3 linked regions of the Coturnix japonica genome follow. The protein of the gene in region 2 interacts with the protein of the main gene of each other region in a biochemical or structural test. Links are inferred from orthologs where the notes say so. Each region holds a gene or a part of one and is shown on either strand. Other genes may lie near its edges.

Region 1 (5,908 bases), on a different chromosome or scaffold from region 2:
AGCTCGGGCCATCCATAACATTTTCAGGATGACAGAATCACATTTATTAGTCACTTGTGACTGTTTAAAGTAAGTTTCCTTCCTGACTTCTACTAATGTTTATTTACTGAAGGAATGTTTTTCACTTTGGTAAAATTTACTTTCTGGTTTGTTTTTAAAACCAAATTTTTAGGTTAATTGATCCACAGACACAAGTTACAAGACTACGAGTAAGTAACTTTACCTTCTAAGATAAATACCCAGCAAAGTAATTCCATTACTTTATAAACAATGTTATTAAATATTGGCAAAAAATCACTGACAGCATCAGATTTCCAGACAGATTTCCCCAGAAGCTGTTGGCTGATGCAAACATTGGTTTTGAGGGGACTGAGCTCAGCACGAGAAAGAAGTTTCTTAAAACACTTCTTTCCTCCCTGATTTCATAGGGTAAAATTTGAGGAAAATGACAGTATTTTATTGTAACAATCTGCTTGATGTAATTGGTGGAGGAATAGAATTAAGATTAGAACGAATTCAGAAGTCCAAAACGTTTTTGTTGCCTTTTGTTTGCTTGGTTTGTTTTGGGTTTTTGGTTTTCCCATCATTACATTGACAGCGTTGTGCACGACAAAACCAGGTGGGGTTTTCATGTGGAATCAAATATGGCCAACTTAATTCTTCAATAAAAGCAGTCTTTATTTTCTGTATTTCAAAGCTGTGCCTCCCCTGCCTTTGTCTCTGCACCGTTTATAATCATTTCCTTCATTTGGGTCTTCTTATAATGATGCTTTATTTCTCAGGGACCCAAAGGTATCATCATTTCTATAAAAGGAAATACTGAACATGCAAAGTATTCCTCATATCACGCCATGTGTGTTTTCCTTTTCCTTCTTTGTGGCATTAAGTTCAGAACCGCCCCAAAGCTGTGAGCTTTTACAGGTGCACATGCAGTGTTCTACGTGTGCTCCTCTGTGGTGAGGAAGAACTCTCATGCTGTTGGTTTGTTCCAATTGCAGGAGAGGCCTTCAGAATTATTTCTGGTCCACCTTCTTTTGGGAACTGAGATTACAAAGCATTTTTATTGAAGCAAACAGTGGAAATCTATACAGAATGTCTGAAACCACTTTTAATCTCTCTGTATTTGATCCTTTCTGGCAGTTTCCTTTGCCCTGTGTAGTCTTGTATGCTACACATCAGGAGAATAAGCGCCTCTTTGGATTTGTGCTTAGAACTTCAGGAGGGAGAGCTGACAGTCGACAAACTTCCATCTGCTATATCTTTGAATCAAATAATGAAGGGGAAAAGGTATTGGTGATGGTTATATTTGTATCCATTTTCTGATTCCAGTCGTTTTCTGACATGGATTCTAAGGTGTTAGTTCCATTCAGGCTGTCTATGGGATTTGTATGGGAGAGTTTATGTACTGAAAACAAGTTAATCCAATAGCTGAAGTAACTGTAAAATGCTTTAGCACACTATCGTACCTGATGTGGGAACGTGGCATGCTTTTAAAGGCATTTGTTAGATTCTTACAGACGATTTCAAATTTGATTTCTATTTAGATTTGTGACTCCGTTGGACTGGCAAAACAGATTGCTTTCCATGCAGAACTGGTAAGAATCTGTTTAGGGCACAGTATCCTTGTGAATGGAAGGGAGAAGGCATATTTAGAGTCTGTAATATTCTGTATTCTGCAGGATGCTTATAGATGCAGTAATGCTGTTGTGGAGAACTCAAAAGGATTTGTTTTATAGAATTTGAATCCAAGATAAAAAGATCTTCACCAGTATCTACCCTGGCACAATGCTCAAGATTGGAATCCACTCTGTACCTTTAACAAACATACCTGTCCATTAAAAGAAGCATAAATCAGGTGTCCCAGAAGTTTTGAACAAACTCAGATAAGCCCACAGCACACCAAGCCCACTGGGCAGTTGTTTCTTTTACTGTTATTTTTGCCCTTCAGGATCGAAAAGCATCAGAAAAGCAAAAAGAAATGGAGAGAGTCAAAGAGAAACAACAAAAAGAACTGACTAAACAAAAACAAATTGAAAAGGTATGCTCTGTTATTTTTAATACTATTTTTTGTTTTGATTTTTTTCCTATTTAGTCACTTTGTTTTGTAGCTTTGTAGTTCCAGCTGCAATATCACATTCTTTAGAACAAACAAACAGAGTATTGTGAAACCAAGTTATTGAAGTATTTTCTGTGCAAGTCCTGTATAATTTTGTATTTTAGTTCTTCAAAAGAGCTTTTCTGAGGAGATAAACAACAAAACTTCTTCATAGGGGGTATTTAAGAGCAGTGCTTGAAGGAACACCTATCGCAGACTGTCCCATACATGGCTGCAAGAAAACATCAGCCAGGCACTGACGCAATTCAATTGGAGATTGGAGCCTGCAGGGAGCAGGCTGTAGGCCAAGCTGTTAGTTCTGACCTGCTGTATTGTATGGATTACCACTAATAGAGGCGTTAAACATGTAAACTCTCCTACTGATGTCAGCTTTTGAAACCCAAATGTCCAAATCTTATTAGTAGTATTCTGTTTCTACCTTATGGAGCTTTAACTTGAGCATTATTTTTCTGATTTCCTTCCCTTTCCTCCCTCCTTTCTCTAATCAGGACTTAGAGGAGCAAAGCCGACTGATAGCTGCCTCCAACAGATCAAACCCAAGCAGTGGAGAAGGACAGTTTGTCGTCCTCAGCAGCAGCCAGTCAGAAGACAGCGATTTAGGAGAGGATGGAAAGAAGAAAAGGGAATCTGAAACCTAAGGTTGCCTAGTTCATTAAAATTGGAATCATGGATCTAAGTAAGGTCTACAAGAAGCGAAATCTAGGTGGAGGGTCTGTTGTATTATATAAAGACTTCACAATGTCTAGACCCTAATATGCCTTGCTGTTTCTTTCTCAATTAAGCGATTACCACTTTCATGTCAGTTTCAGTTCTCTTTTGTATGCCACATAGACATGGTAGCATCACCATTCTTTTTCTCAAAATTAGGTTTTCTCAAAGAATTCTCTGCAGGAAGGGAAAAAGATGGATTTTTCTTTTTTCCATTTGCCCATCTGTGCAATTGACTGCTTTGGAAACGAAACGTAAGTTCTCACTGAACTTGAGTAGTACTGCAATTTGTTCATTACACTGCAGCGTGTAGAACACCTTGCTGGAAACAAAAGGGAGTGTCCAGATAAGACAGTATGAAACAAAATCTGCACTGTGTGGTACCGTCTTTTTTTTGGGGGGTGAGGGGGATTCAAATGCAGAAGGTTTCCTTGAACAGGAGATAGAAATAAAAGACTGCGCTATTCTGCATCCTATAGTCAGTCTCCTAATGCATTTTTCAAAGCAGTCTCTGTTTATACCTCATAAGCCTGAACTCCATGGCCCATACCCTGTGTAATATTTATTTTGTATAATACTAAATGTGCATTCATCTTTTGATCCAGATGAGAAAACGTGTTTGAAGTAAGAAGAAATATTTATTTTTGCACTAATTACTATAAATACTAAACTCCAATGGAACAGATGTCTCTCTAATAGTGGCCTGAGCATAACAGAAAATGTAGAAAGAGAAGAGTATATTCTAAGATGTTTTATAACGGTTAAGAGTGTTTTACAGTTCATTGCAGAACATTTCTAGTCTTTGGCTTTCAGCCCAGCCCTTCATAGCTAGAATTGCATGGTGCTGGTTAAGTGAGGGATTTCAGGACCTCTGTGCTAGATGGCTGTAGATGCATAAAAGGAACACTGTCCTTAATTGCATAGAAGTTGTTTTGCGTAGGCTAACAAAGGCAACCTCCTTCTGCTTTTTATGCTGGAGATAGATAGGCATTTCTATGCAGCAACCAACTGCATCTGCCTCCTGTCACAGGAGAGAAAAGGGAGCATTGCTCTCACGGTGCCACTGACACCACAGCATAAAGAAGGGATCTAACACCTGTGGAAGTGCTCACAGTATTTGAAAGAGGAGGTGGAGTGGGAGACTGAGCAAGAGAGAGGCTCCAGGTTCTCTTCCTTCTGTTTCAGCCCGTTCATCCTCAGAGCAGCCAGTAGCTTGCAGAAGTACCTGCTTTTGCTGTTATCCAGTCAGGCCATGTGGCATCAGCCTGCGACCAGATGTTGCCTTGTAGTGTCACATGGACCATACACATCTAAGGCTTTAAAAACAAACAACAAAAAACAAAAACTTAAGTGGCATTTACTTCCTGTCTGGTCTTGTAACCTCATCTGTAAGAGGCTACTTTCATTCTTTTCAACAGAAACGTACAGAAAGGCAGCAAATGCTTTTCTTTCCTTTTCCTGCCTATATCCAGTTGCGTGGCAGCCAGTTTATCTCTACAAGTTGCTTCAGTTTATGTTTCCTTCTCTTGGATATTTTTTTTAATGTAATGATTTCTACTTTCTATGAAACAACACGCCAGCACAGCCCAGATTTATAAAATCAGTGAGGTTGAAAAGATGACTAATATCATCCAGTCCAACCTTTAACCTCCAAACTTACTGTGTCCTCCTCAAGTACACACAAAGATAAATTAATTCAGCAACAGCAAAGAAAATATTAAATCGGTGGTCCTCAGTTCCAAGAATCTGGTCACCTATACCACGTCTGTCAGAGTGAGATGAGCTGCAGTGGGCACAGCACCAAGAGGAGGACAGCTAACAGACAGCAACCTCATCCAAAGGTATTGCTGACAGGGTGCCTTATTGGAGAGAGGGCAGAGAGCCGAGTTATCTTTTTTTGAACCTGCCCATTATGTTTTAGACATAAACACAGAACTATGAGAAGGAAATGAAGAGAAAAATCTGAGGCACTACAGTGCTCTTATGGAATTTTTCAGATTAAACAATATCTGACTGGAATTACTCCAGTTGTAGCTCACGTTTTACCATCTATGCCATTAAATGTAGTTTTCTTAATCAGACAGCATAGGATTGAATTGCATTTCACTTGCAGTGAATGATTCTTTTCTCCCAACCCCTGAAAAGAAGGGAAATGAATGAGGAAAGCAGCACTTTAAACTTAAAGTGCCATGCATGAATGAAATGAGGAGGTTTTGTTTTGCTTGTTTAGGCGAGTCTTGCTGGTTTAAAATGAGCAAAGAGGCAGATAGATAGAAAAGCTTCTGGGAAGGTGATGAAAGCTGCAGGAGCAAAGGGCAAGTTGTGGGAGATCAGGATGGTAAAATGGAACAGTGCAGTGAATTAGCAGTGGGATGAGAATTACTCAGTGCCACTTAAAGGGAGGAGCACCTGGATCTATGGATAGAACTACCATAAGGCAAGGAATAGCTGCTGAGGTTTTATCCATGTCCTCCTTCCCTCAGAAAATCTTTTTGGTATCCTTTGATCTATGAATTGTAGAGCTGCTTCATCAGGAAACATGTTTCTTAATTAAAAAAATTACTTAGTATTTACTTTGAGAGTACAGCTTTTAATATAAACGCCTCACGTTCTCCTGGCAATGACTGTGGTAGGGTTTCACCACCTGTTTTAAATAAATTACTGGTTGGTTTCCTTTCTTATGATTTATTTTGCCTGTTTAATATTTCCTGTTGCCTTTTACTTAAGGACTGATCTGAGCTGAAGCTGTAATTTGCTTCATGTGAACACAGTATTATTTCAGAAACTATGTGGGTAATGGGATATTAAGTTTATTACACTGTGTAGGCCATGCAGGTCTTGCTCTTCATTGTTCTGCTCTACATACATTGTCTATGAATGTAGCAGAGTGAATATCAAAATATATAAAAAGCGTGGGCAAACTACAGGCATGCATTTCATTGCTTTATAACTAATACCAAGTACTTATTTATGGATAGATTTGTAGAAGTCTAAACCAGAGGACAAGTTAATAGTCATATGCAGCTTACACAGACCTGGTAACATGTGTTGTGTAAGCAAACATGGATTTGATGGTCTGTTATT
Region 2 (6,093 bases):
AATTTCTTTCTCTTCCTAGTAGGGGGCTTGTTTTCAGCATGTTGTTGAGATTTTTAGCATAATTTTGAAATATGGTTTTTAAAGAGACACTTCTGTGTTTCTAGTATGTAACCTTAAACTGAATGGAAAGCATTTTCTAGGAGTTACTGTTTGAAGTCTTGCTATTAACTACTTACTGTTTTTCTGTAATTATAAGGTAACTCAGGGTAATAACAGATGTAGGTTTTAGATATGCAGATTAACATGTTAAGCTGTAGTGGCAGAAAATACAAGTTGCCCTGAAACTGCAGGTAGTGGAAATCATGCCTTGAAACAATTCTTGAGTTGACTTGCAAGGGAAAAAACACAACTATATGACTGCTTTATGAGCAAGAAAATTTCAGAATTTATTTGTACTTCTGTAATCTTTAACCAAGGTGGGATGTCAGGAGCTGGAAATCTTAGCTATAATATACTGTTCAAATAACGTAGATTTAGTCCAGAATTGTACATGTCAGAGCTATTGGATTGTAGCATGAAGAAATACTGTTTGTTGCATCAAGGTGAGGTGCATCTAGAAGATAAGAGAGAAATCTTGTGGTTGCTGAAATGAACTGTTAGAAAAGAATAATGGGAGTTTTTCCTGAATTTTGTTTCCATGTGTCTTTAATGTGAGGAAAGTTTGCATGTTGAATTCTTCTATGTCAATCAATTACAATCTAAAATCTTCAGACCTTCTGTATTTTAATAATAGGCTTCAGTTGTCAAGGAAATCATGCTTGATTCATCTTTTGTGAACATAATTTGATACGAGCAGACTTCTGGTTTCAACCCTTCTGTCTTTTTTTTTTAGCTGCTTTTCTAACCCAAACTGTGTGTCTTGATGATACAACGGTAAAATTTGAAATATGGGATACAGCTGGGCAAGAGCGGTATCACAGTTTAGCACCTATGTACTACAGAGGAGCACAAGCAGCTATAGTTGTATACGACATTACAAATGAGGTAAGTACAATGGGAGAGGGAGTTATGGGGATTCTTTGTGGTCTCGTATCTGCCATTTTTATATATAACTGTCTCATGTGTATCTGTATCAATTCATCTCTTAATGTTGGGCTGTGTGATATTAATTTGTGCCTGGAATCTTTTCTTACCAAGAGACCCGTTATTGTGTTCTTTATATTAAAAAGTATTCAAACAAACTAGAGAAAGCAAATGCCTTTGCAGAGTTTTTTTCCAAGCCCACATTTATATCAGTTCATCTGAATTGTTACTCACCAGGCTACTGGTGACAAATAATTTCTAGTGGTGAAAGATGTTGCGTTCATATGTTACTGTTGCAAAATAAAAGGCAGGTATTAAAGGCAGCATAATCTACTGATGCTATAACATTGTTTGATTTCATTTTGTTTGAGCTGGCATCAGACAAGCTTTGTATTAAACAAGGTTTAATATAATAAATATAATATAAATAATAATATATAATTATTGAAATAATAATATATAAACAAGGTTTAGGTCAAAATGAAACTTAAAATACGAAACCTCCAAAAAACCCAGCATACCTCAACTGTAACGGTGGTCACTAATTAGAAATGTTGAAAATTGTTGAGTTTATGAATAAACTTGATTCTTCTGGAGGAGAAAATGAATTTCCAATTTTCTCTCAACTGTTTCTCTACTTAGTCTTCATAAATCTTTATATCTTCATTTATTTTCTCGGCATTGTCATGACTAAGAACGTCTGAAAATTAGGGTAGGAATGTATCATATAAAAAAACTCTTGAGTGTATCTTTGGACAAAAGTAGCAGCCTTGCTTTAATTGACATTTTGCTTGAAGTATAGATAACAGAGACTGGGATAATTGGTGAGTGCAAAAGGATGGTAAAGACTCAACTTGCATCATTTTGCAATCATTAACAGGAGTCCTTTGCCAGAGCGAAAAATTGGGTCAAAGAACTTCAGCGTCAAGCAAGTCCTAACATTGTAATAGCTTTAGCAGGAAACAAAACTGATCTAGCTAACAAAAGAGCTGTGGATTTCCAGGTATGTACATAACTTCTGTTTAATAGAAATAGTTTGTTTTTTTGGAGGAGGAGGAGGAGCAGGTAAATAGGCCTACTGAGGAGCTTACATGCATAGACCAGGTGGTTGTCAAGGAGGTCATGCTGTTAAATATAAACCTCAAGTGAGAGTAATTCTAGGTGCTGCTGAAAAATGTTTTTGTACAAATGATATATGGCAATAGACTTGTTTTGAATAAGGAATTAAGTATGAGGAATAACTAATTTATTTGCATATCTTCAAGGCTAATTGAATTCCTGTTCTATGATCTGATCTCTTCCTGTCTTCCACTCAAAATTATCTGTAATTACAGTGTTAGTGGAAGCGATAGAATGATCTGCACTGAATTTGTTCCTAAGCTCTCTGACGTGTCCAGAGGGAAATTTTGAGAATCTTATGATACAAAGTTGATTGATAGACTTAGCTTGCCTAGGGTATACTGTTGAAGCAGTGTTCAGCTTTTAATTCTCCTTTTCATGGCATTATTTTTGTTTATGTTGATACACATGTGCTCTTCGGTTACATTTGTCTTCTTGAAAACACTGATTAAACTTAGTTATCAGAAAATGACTTCCAAAACAAATGAAATTCACTACAGATGTTCTCATCCATGCAGCACTGATTGATCTTAAGAAAACTGATTCATATAGGTATTTATTCATTAGTAATTAATTATGTTTCTGTTTTCATCTATGTCATTGTGTTAGTTACTGCTGTGTATGGTAATGAATCCTTTTATAACTTTAGAAGTCAGTCTGTGAAGATTAGGAGCTTTAGGTACTTTTCAACCTAAATTCAACATTGTCAAAAAATTTTATTCTTTCATGTCAGTTGCAACATAAAAACTACCACAGAAAAAGCAGGCATTCTGTGGAAAACTTGTGGTTTGTGACAGATCCTGTGTATCTGTATAGATAAAAAACTTAATCAAATTTTAAATATCTACACTTTTTTTTTTTTCCGTTAGTTTTGTTTCTTACAGTTATGTACTCAGCATTTTTTTGTTGTTATCTTCTCTTTTTTGCAAACAACTATCAAACCTATTTGAGATTAAGTACTGATTAATGTGTTATTTCTGTTGTGGTTACATAGGTTTTAGCACATGTTACTTAAATGAATATTGAGCTAGACTGCAGTTTTTCTTTGTTTCATCATAGGTATAGTTTGGCTTTATGCAGATTTCTGTTGGATTCAAAGACAGTTTCATAATCTGAAGATACCAGGGATTTGTAGCTGAACTGGCTAACAGGAGGTGGCAAAAATAGGGAACAGAAGTATTTCAGATGTGTATTTCAGATAGAAATTCACACTGGTAAAGGAGATCATATGACAAGACATTAGATTTTCCTAATTAGTTTTATTATCCTGACAAAAATCCTCTATTCTAAAACTTCTGATCAATCTGCCTTAGTGGATGAAAGATTGAGTAAGGATGAAAGGTAGTTCTTCATAGAAGTGATAATGGAGCTTTTTGGCATTTGAAGGCACTTTCTGTTGCTTATTCTTGCTATTACAGCTAGAGTCTTGTGGTAGGATTGTCCTTCTAATATTTACTATTTAGTTTTGTATTAGGTTTGATCTGGAATATTACTTTAAGACAAATAAGGGTTTCAGGATTGCATTTCTTTTACCTGATGGAGTTACAACTTCCCCATAGCTAACGAGTAACACACAGTCATGAGTGTTTCAGCAAACCTTTTTTGAAAATGGAGTAGAAATTCTTCATTAGTAGTAGTAAGAGTATGGTTTGTAATAAAGTGATGCTTTGACTTTTTAAGAATGGACTAATGCAGTATTTTCTTTCAGGAAGCACAAGCTTATGCAGATGACAACAGCTTGTTGTTCATGGAGACGTCGGCCAAGACAGCTATGAATGTGAATGAAATCTTCATGGCAATTGGTGAGTTGATGAGGGGAGATGGGGGGGAGTTAGAAAATCGAATGTAATTGTTTTCTTGAGATTCATGTAATCAGAAGCATCCTAACTAACTAACAAGCTCTTCCAGATTTTCCCATAAATCTTTTTTCTTTCTGTGGCACTGATGTTTCCTTAGGCCCCTTAGACTCTTCTATGATGTTGTGATAAACTTATTTGAAGCATATTTGCACAGGCCTTCTGTCAAGCATTTAAAGCTTGGATTAATTTGTAGTAGCTGAATGAGCTTAGATTAATTAAAATTCTGTCAGCAAGTTTCATGTAACTGCCTTTTTGTTGTGGTCAGTGATACTACTTCAGGTTGAAGCAAAATTAAGCTGTAGTTGCTGTTCTGTATTTAAAAACAAATCAAAAGAAAACCTTCCCATGGCATAGCTTACCATTAAAAGTTTTGCATAGTTTTACATTACTTCAACAAGTCCAAAATATATTTTATGGTTATCACGTTAATATAGAATATAAATAAAAATGTATAAATTAGTGTCTCTTCACATTATGCTTTTTGCAACAGATCTCATACTGCCTTGAGTAGGTACAAAAGTCATAATATTGTACTTATAATACAATTATAATTGAAGCTGGAAACATCAAAATAGGAGATGACAGTGACTTGCTTTAAAGATATCAGGAGTATTCATTTTAGACTAATCAGCGTATTTGCTAAATACTGTTTTATAATTAAAAACTCTTTGAATTCCAAGTGCAGCAATGTAAGATGCAAAGGGTATGCCAAGAATGAGTATGTGTGTGTTTAAATTCAAAGTCTGAGTACAGGTGAAGGGTACTTTGTGTGAAAAGTGAATTTACTAATGGATTTTTAGAGCTGACACTCCTTAGGAATTTCTTTAAAGTTGACTACACATAAAGAAAGTTGAAACTGCTAACAGTCTTGTTAGTTATCTTTCCTTGATGGATTTAACATATCTCATTATTAAAAAGAAAAAAAGGAGAAAGAAAGTGGGCTCTTCTAGGTGGGTTACTTGCCCTATTTAATAACCTTAATTAGAGTAGTCACACTGTTACTAGGAGGAAACAGTATAGTGTCAAATATCTGTATTAATCTGTTTCTTGTGTTGCACTATGATGACCTCTTTTGCTTTCAAAATAAATTCTTTTTAAAGAGCCCTTACCTTTTTCTTTGCAAACCAGTTAAGTAGAAGGTAACCTAATGCAGTTCAGACTTCCAGCAAATGCATATTAAATTATGGCTATAGCAACATTTTACAGCAAATACTCTCCTTATATTAACTGTAATCATGCGGGTTAGGGGGGTTACAGAATTCTAAGTAGAAAATGTATTTTTGTCATAAATGCTGGAGGTAGCACTGCATTTAACGATACAGAAATGCTCAGTTATAATCCTCTTTGCGTGACTGCTGTGCAGCTTCAAAAATATTTCTTTTAATGTCATGATGCAAACTGCATCTTTAAAAGTTATGTGCAAAATGAGTCTTGAAACTCTGTTGGGATTTTGGTAAATTATTACATAAAGAGAAATTCTTACCTGTCCCTACTTTTAATGAAGTATACGCAATAAACATGACAAAAAGTATGTACTTAGTACCTGGATATTTAGTCTGCAAGGTTCTTAGTCTGTGTGAGTTATTCTTTGGGTGAAATGGGTGACATTCAAACTTAGCATTGCATCAGAACAAGATCTGTGCAGCACTGAGCTTAGAATAGCCTTTTGCACAACATGGGTTCATTTCTGTGGAACCATATGTAAGTGTGATCTTCCAAAAATGTGAGAATAGTCAAAAATGAGAACATGGAAAAGAGTGGATGCAAGCTACAACTGCTTGTGAATTAACTGCCTTAGAGCTTGTTCAAGGCTTCTGGTTACTGGAAAAACAATAAATAAATAAAAAAAAAATATTCATTTCCGATATCAGTAATCTCAAGCAACAGTGCTTTGAAGATGGTTTGCTGACTCTGTGTCTCTTCATGCCGTCTTTGCAGCATAATGTCATGAGAACTCTTGGGTTCTGTTAACCGAGTTAATTATTTTCACGTGCTAATTTTCTTATTGCTTCCTGTAACAGCAATAAGTAGTTCTTGAAAACACTGGCCGACATAGTTCTGGAGTCAAAGTGTACAGCCAGAAAGTAGAACA
Region 3 (6,093 bases), on a different chromosome or scaffold from region 2:
CCAACTTTGGATTTGTAGTTTTGGCTGTTACGTGTTCCTTGCATGTCTTTCAGCAGACTGTTTCAAGCTGTTCTTTTAGTATTTTGGGTAATGCTGGCTTTTGTTAAAACGCATGATTTGTGTTGGTGAAATCTGTTGGCTTCTGACACACTGTAAAATTACCCATGCATAATTTTTAGGCAAACTCACCAGTGCCAGTAAAGAGGACTTGAGTTCTCATACTAGCCCCAACGCCTCACCCAATAGCGTACATGGCTCTCGACGAGGCAGCATTAGCAGCATAAGCAGTGTGAGCTCAGTTCTGGACGAGAAGGATGATGACCAAATCCGTTGTTGTCAGCACTGCAAAGATACTCTGCTGAAAAGAGAACAACAGATTGATGAGAAGGAATACACTCCAGAGATTGTGAAACTCTATGAGGTAAATCAAGCAAGGAAGTTGTTCTCATGTCCAAGTTCTTTATGGCTTAATATTCTAATAAAAAGATAAATACGAAAGATAAATACAAAGATGAATCTGAAAGTAAACATTCAGAGGCCTTATGTTATTTACATCCCATGGTAGCTTAAGACCTTATTTTAATGTACAGTTTTGTTCTCATCTGGAACTAGTGATTTTGAAATGTCCCTTAAAAATTGTGCGTAATGTCAGCTGGGATTTGTCAGAACAGTTCTTTTTAAACCAGTGATGTGCTTGTGCTAATGGTGGGCTCTGCTAGAACTATAGAACTAAGTTGTAAGAACTGTTTGTTCCCTCACTGGTGGCAGCCATCTAAATTGAACAACAGTGTGTGGCCAGAATTCTTTGTTCAAATATGCTTTAATAGCATGTACTGATATTCGTTGGGTATCTTCCTGATAAGGAATTCCCTCTCCCAGCCCCAACTTTAATAATAATGGGGATTTCTGTTGATGCTTTTCTGTGAAGAGAGTATGACTAGAAGTTGCCCATCGAAATAGTTTCTGAACTCAAAGTTTACCTTGCAGGGGTGTAGAGATTCTTTCTCTGTTGTTGATCTGTGTTCTCAGGACAGCTGGGGGACCTTGTGATCCTGAGCAGTTCGATGGCTTTCATAGCTATTAGCTTTGAATGTGCACAGTCACATTGAAAGGTTTATGTCAGTAGGTGCTTCTACTAATGTTCTAATACAAGTTCTGCTTTTATGTGCATTGTTAATTAAGAAACTCCGACTCTGCATGGAGAAGGTTGACCAGAAGGCACCTGAATATGTAAGAATGGCAGAATCTCTGAAGTAAGTTTCACTTACTGATTTTGTTCATGAATGTATGTATATTTCTTCCCCTGTAAGTCTGCAAAGTAGGTAAAGAATTGGTGCGGTAAGGCTATGGGTGTTGGTGGGTCATGGAAAAAGTGTTAGGCTTTTCTTTATTTTAATCTAGATAAATAACTATCCAGAGCTCACAGAATTACAGAATTATCAGGGTTGGAAAAGACCTAGAAGATCATCTATTCAACCATTACCAATACTTCCTGGCTAAATCATATTCCTCAACACCACATCCAAAAAGCTCAAGTTAATTCACAAACTAGATTACAAGTCTTAAATCTGATGAGTGTCATCCCTGGGATAACTTACCTTATGATTTAGTATTAACCACAACATTTTGGTGCATGAATTGGATGCCTGAATTAATATTTCTTGCCAAAATCTGTTTTTAAAAAGTTCTAGGATTATACTTTTATTTTTAGAATTAAAGAAATTTTAGTTTTACCAGTTGTAAGCAGCTTTTGATTTGTGTGCTCAGAATTTTATATTACAGACCTGTATTACTTAATGTAATTATATATAAGCCTTAATGTAGATGTTGCAATGACCTGCTGAAAGACTTGTCATATGGGGTAAATGGGATCTAGGCCTGCACTGTGTGTTCAGTATATGAAACGCTGTGGAGTAGTGAAGGCTGGAAGGAACAGCAGTACGTTACTTGGCTATTGAAAAAAATAGTTACATCTGGCATTTGCGGTACTGCTGAAATCAATAAATTTTGAGGAATTCCCAAAGGCAAAGAAGGAGGCTGTACAGCACACAGATCTGAAGGAATTGCCCCAAGGGAGATGTCAATTAGGCTACTGTGAGTTTTTATTTGAATTTTTACTACTTTAAATACGTTTTTCATAATATCTTGAAAACTTCAGAGTAAGTACAAATGTATATATTGGTGGTTGCTGTGCTGACTCACTTTCATTCCTCCCCATCTTGCAGTGTTTGATCTCCTTGTGAACTGTAACAGCATTTCTTTGCAGCCTTACAAAAAAATGCAAGTGGTTTTATTTTCCCTACTTCCTGAATTTTTCTCTTGAGATAATAGAGAGGTTCCTTCCTTTATTCAGATTTCACTTAGTCTAACTGCATAACTGTGTCACTGTTTTGATTCTTATAGAGGCACGTAATCAAATACTAACATGTGATTGGTGACTGGGCAGGCCTATAGAGGATCTTACAGGTTCTGTAGCTTTGGAGATGCTTTTGTGTATTTCAGGTACAAGAGGAAGGGCAAGCTTAAAAATGGTGAAGAAGCTTCCATATAAAATACTAATTTGTTTTCTTCAATAAATATGCGAATCTAGTCATCGTGTCTCCACATGGACTTAGTTGCTAGAATCTTAAACATTATGCCCACATGGGCTTGTAGACTTCTGCTTTACGACAGACATAAGTACACAACTTGTTTTAATGGCATAGTTGCTTATTTGATCAGTGAGGAGTTTTCTGGAAAAAATGCAGAATAGATGCATTGGTTGTGTATATTTTAAGTATTACTGATAGTGGGATTCTTCTTATACTAAAATTAATTTTTCCTGTAATTGTAAATATTCATGTTTACAGGTTGATATTTTCCACTTCTGTCAGCAAGAAATGGTTTCTGTATACAGTGATCTTGAAATAAAAGCATTCTAATAGATGATTTATCCTTACATTTGTTGACATCTTCTTGGGATAGCTTTTAGTGCTGTATGTATCATTCACTGGAAGTATGACTTACGATAAAGTTGTCTTTATTTTGTAGTGCTGGGGAGACAACCTACAGTCTTGAACGTGCTAATGACTTGAGGGTGGAGATTCAAAAAGCGTACGAATTTATAGATGCCCTCAGGTAAAGGAAGTGTGTGTGCTCTCTCTTGCTATATGCATAAACTGCATTATGTTTTTCCCTTCTTCCATTACAGCTTGTACTAACTCAACCTTATCCACAACTGTTGGGGCCTATGTTTATTCACACAGTCAACTTGCCTACTCCATTGTAAAGAGAACGTTGAAAAATAGATGCTGTTCCTGTGCACCATCAATCTCTATTTCCTTTTCTAACCATGCACAGAGGAAACAAGTAGAGGCATAGGTTTTTTTGTTTTTTTTTTTAATGAAGCATTACTGCTTGTAATATTTAGAGTGGCTTACCTAAAAGAACACATGAGAACGTTCATTTCGTATTGTCTTCTTCTCTTCCTGTTGTATTTTCCTTGGCCCCTGTGGTTGAATGGATGAGCTTATGTTTACTTTTATTCAGTAAGAAGATTGTGAGTCTAGGCTTGAACGAAGAGCCCCAGCCTCATCCTAAAACACTGCAGCTTCAGAGAATGATAAGATACTCAGCTACTCTTTTTGTTCAGGTAAATAGAGCATATAATTATGAGCTAAATTTTCTGTGGTGTTCTGTTCTTTGTTGCCCATATGTCTGGCTTAAAACTTCTTTTGACAGAACGTTTACATCTATAGATGTTCTGAAGTCACTGAATGTGGATAGCACAGTCAGAGCAGCATCTGTAAGTCTTGGCTTTGTCTGTGGCAGAGGCCCACCCTACCCGGCAGTATAGTTACAGCAGCCATGATGTGTTCCAATGTGGAGCAGTGTCTGCAGTGGAGGAATACCTGCTATTTGTCTGTGGAGCATTTGTTGTTGTTTCCTTTGAGTACTTGAAAACTTGTCTGAATGCCTGCAAGCATTCACTGTAATTATTTCAATATTTGGCAGGAAAAACTGTTTGGCCTCATGTCCCTGCCAACCAAAAGTCAGTATGAAGAACTGAAGAAGAGAAGACTGCATATGGTAAGACTGGTTCAGGTCTGTATTTGCATGAGGGCCTGCTTCAGGGACTTAAACAGACACACAATTATTTACTATTCATAGTTCATCTGGATGTGTTAGTAGCTACCTGTGTATGAACAGCTGTCCTTAAGACTGGAGTTCTTGATTCTTTTTTCATTTTCGCTGCAGATCATCCCATGCCTGTGTTCAGGGACTTGTGTAACACTCATTGTAGTTCTTCCCAGAACAGAGAGATGTGTACTGAAAGCTGGATGCATCCAGAAAGCAGCAGTGGCTTGTTTGTGGGTGCTTCTGTGCCTGTTAAACTAAGTCATTTGTACAAGTAGAATTTGAAGACTTCTCCAGGTGGTTTAAAAAAAGATAAAATAAATGGAGACATGGATGCAGCTTCAGGAGAGGGTTTTCTTGGGAGGCGGGACATCACCAACACAGAAATAAACCAGCTTCATGTTGAAGTAGAAATTAAGAAATATAAATAATTGCATTCCAAAGGCTAATAATATAATTGATATTTACTCTGATGCCCTGTTATAGAAATATCTGCTGTAGGTGGATGTAATATGGTTGCTGCCCAATCTGCTTGAGCCATCTCTTTGGACAGCTGGATTTAGGTATCTTTTGCTCTCAAGTTTGTACAGGCAGACGTGAATAGATTTCATTAAGTGTCTTCATAAATAATAGGTAGTATTACAAAAATGAACAGTTTTTTCAGAGAAACTAAAGACTGAGTTGATGTTTGTGACAGCAGTATCTAAGGTAGACAACTATTTTCTGTGAATACAAAAGTTAAAAATGGAATTTTTCAAGCTCACGTTCTCCATATATTTTTGTTTTAGGCAGCTCTTGAAACACACAGAAAACAAGAGGAGAAGCAGAAAGACTTGACATGCAGATCTGCAGGTGCAGTTAATGGTGATGCAACTCTCCTTAAAAAAGGAGCAGTCAGGAAATCTGAAGGCTGGCTGCCTACATCGAGCATATCTCGACAGAGTGAGGTGGCAGACCCACTTCTTCAGCAGATTGACAACATCACATCCTTCATTGAGCAAGCAAAGGCAGCTAATAGGCTGGATGAGGTCCGTATGTTGCAAGAAAACCTGAGGCAACTTCAGGATGAATATGATCAACAGCAAACTCTGAAAGCCATTGAGCTTTCTAAAAAACAGGCAGAAGAGGAAGAGAAGCAGAGGGAAGAACTTCAGTTCCTTTGTGAAAAAGAGTGGGAAAGAGAACACCACAAATCCATGTCTCAGCATTCAATGACAGGCTCCTTAGATTTCAGAGAAGGCAAGCAGCATCAGTATGAAGCTGCAAAAGAGAATCAGAACTTGTTAGCACATAGATTGGATTTAGATATTACTCAAGTGAAAGGGAACCGAAGTTCTGAAACTACTGCTGTTCAGCAGATTCCAGCCAAAGAGTACGTAATCGTCCCAGTTAGACACCAGAATACTCCACAGTGTGGCAAAGACCAAAATCAGGCAACCTGTCTAAACCCCTTTGAAGATGAAGCAGATACCCCTCTGTCAGAGGAAGATCCCACTAACCCATTTGCTGAAGATGTGTCTCAACCGGTTTCTTTCTCTAACACAGCTCTGCAAAGTGACAGAAAAGAATATAACCCATTTGAAAATGGGGAGGAAGGTGAACAGACCAGTGGAGCATCTGTCAGTACTTCAAATCCCTTTGAAGAGGATGAAAATCCATTTCAGAAGTCTGGGAACAATTGGAATTCTGGAAATCCATTTGAAGAAGGATCTTCTACCAATCCCTTTGAGGTGGAAGATGTAACTGAGATCTTAAGAGAGGAGGCTATAGACGAGGAACTGCTTCTCCAACAGATAGATAATATCAAAGCCTACATATTTGATGCCAAGCATAGCGGACGAATGGATGAGGTGGAACTACTGACGGAGAACTTAAAGGAACTGAAGTACACTTTAGCAAAACAAAAGGAGAAATCCAACTGTTGAAGCAGCAATCACACCTTGTAAGAGTTACCTCAAGTCCGCTGCTAAGAGATGG

The links. The genes of interacting proteins can lie anywhere in the genome.
Region 1: the proteins of RAB5A (region 2) and APPL1 form a complex in vitro, tested with the Homo sapiens proteins (2 studies listed by BioGRID and IntAct, with this or other methods). The link is inferred for Coturnix japonica from reciprocal best matches to the Homo sapiens genes RAB5A and APPL1.
Region 3: the proteins of RAB5A (region 2) and RBSN form a complex in vitro, tested with the Homo sapiens proteins (3 studies listed by BioGRID, with this or other methods). The link is inferred for Coturnix japonica from reciprocal best matches to the Homo sapiens genes RAB5A and RBSN.

Annotation. Positions count from the first base shown.
Region 1 is NC_029527.1:6,339,417-6,345,324, forward strand, and holds part of APPL1 (DCC-interacting protein 13-alpha), read left to right. Parts: coding exon 1-69; intron 70-172; coding exon 173-209; intron 210-1,140; coding exon 1,141-1,287; intron 1,288-1,544; coding exon 1,545-1,595; intron 1,596-1,948; coding exon 1,949-2,038; intron 2,039-2,083; exon of another isoform or gene 2,084-2,604; coding exon 2,605-2,754; 3' UTR 2,755-5,908. UniProt on the Homo sapiens protein: Multifunctional adapter protein that binds to various membrane receptors, nuclear factors and signaling proteins to regulate many processes, such as cell proliferation, immune response, endosomal trafficking and cell metabolism.
Region 2 is NC_029517.1:32,829,862-32,835,954, forward strand, and holds part of RAB5A (ras-related protein Rab-5A), read left to right. Parts: intron 1-832; coding exon 833-984; intron 985-1,903; coding exon 1,904-2,026; intron 2,027-3,850; coding exon 3,851-3,944; intron 3,945-6,093. UniProt on the Homo sapiens protein: The small GTPases Rab are key regulators of intracellular membrane trafficking, from the formation of transport vesicles to their fusion with membranes.
Region 3 is NC_029527.1:17,046,374-17,052,466, forward strand, and holds part of RBSN (rabenosyn-5), read left to right. Parts: intron 1-179; coding exon 180-421; intron 422-1,182; coding exon 1,183-1,253; intron 1,254-3,030; coding exon 3,031-3,117; intron 3,118-3,528; coding exon 3,529-3,631; intron 3,632-3,993; coding exon 3,994-4,068; intron 4,069-4,904; coding exon 4,905-6,041; 3' UTR 6,042-6,093. UniProt on the Homo sapiens protein: Rab4/Rab5 effector protein acting in early endocytic membrane fusion and membrane trafficking of recycling endosomes. Required for endosome fusion either homotypically or with clathrin coated vesicles.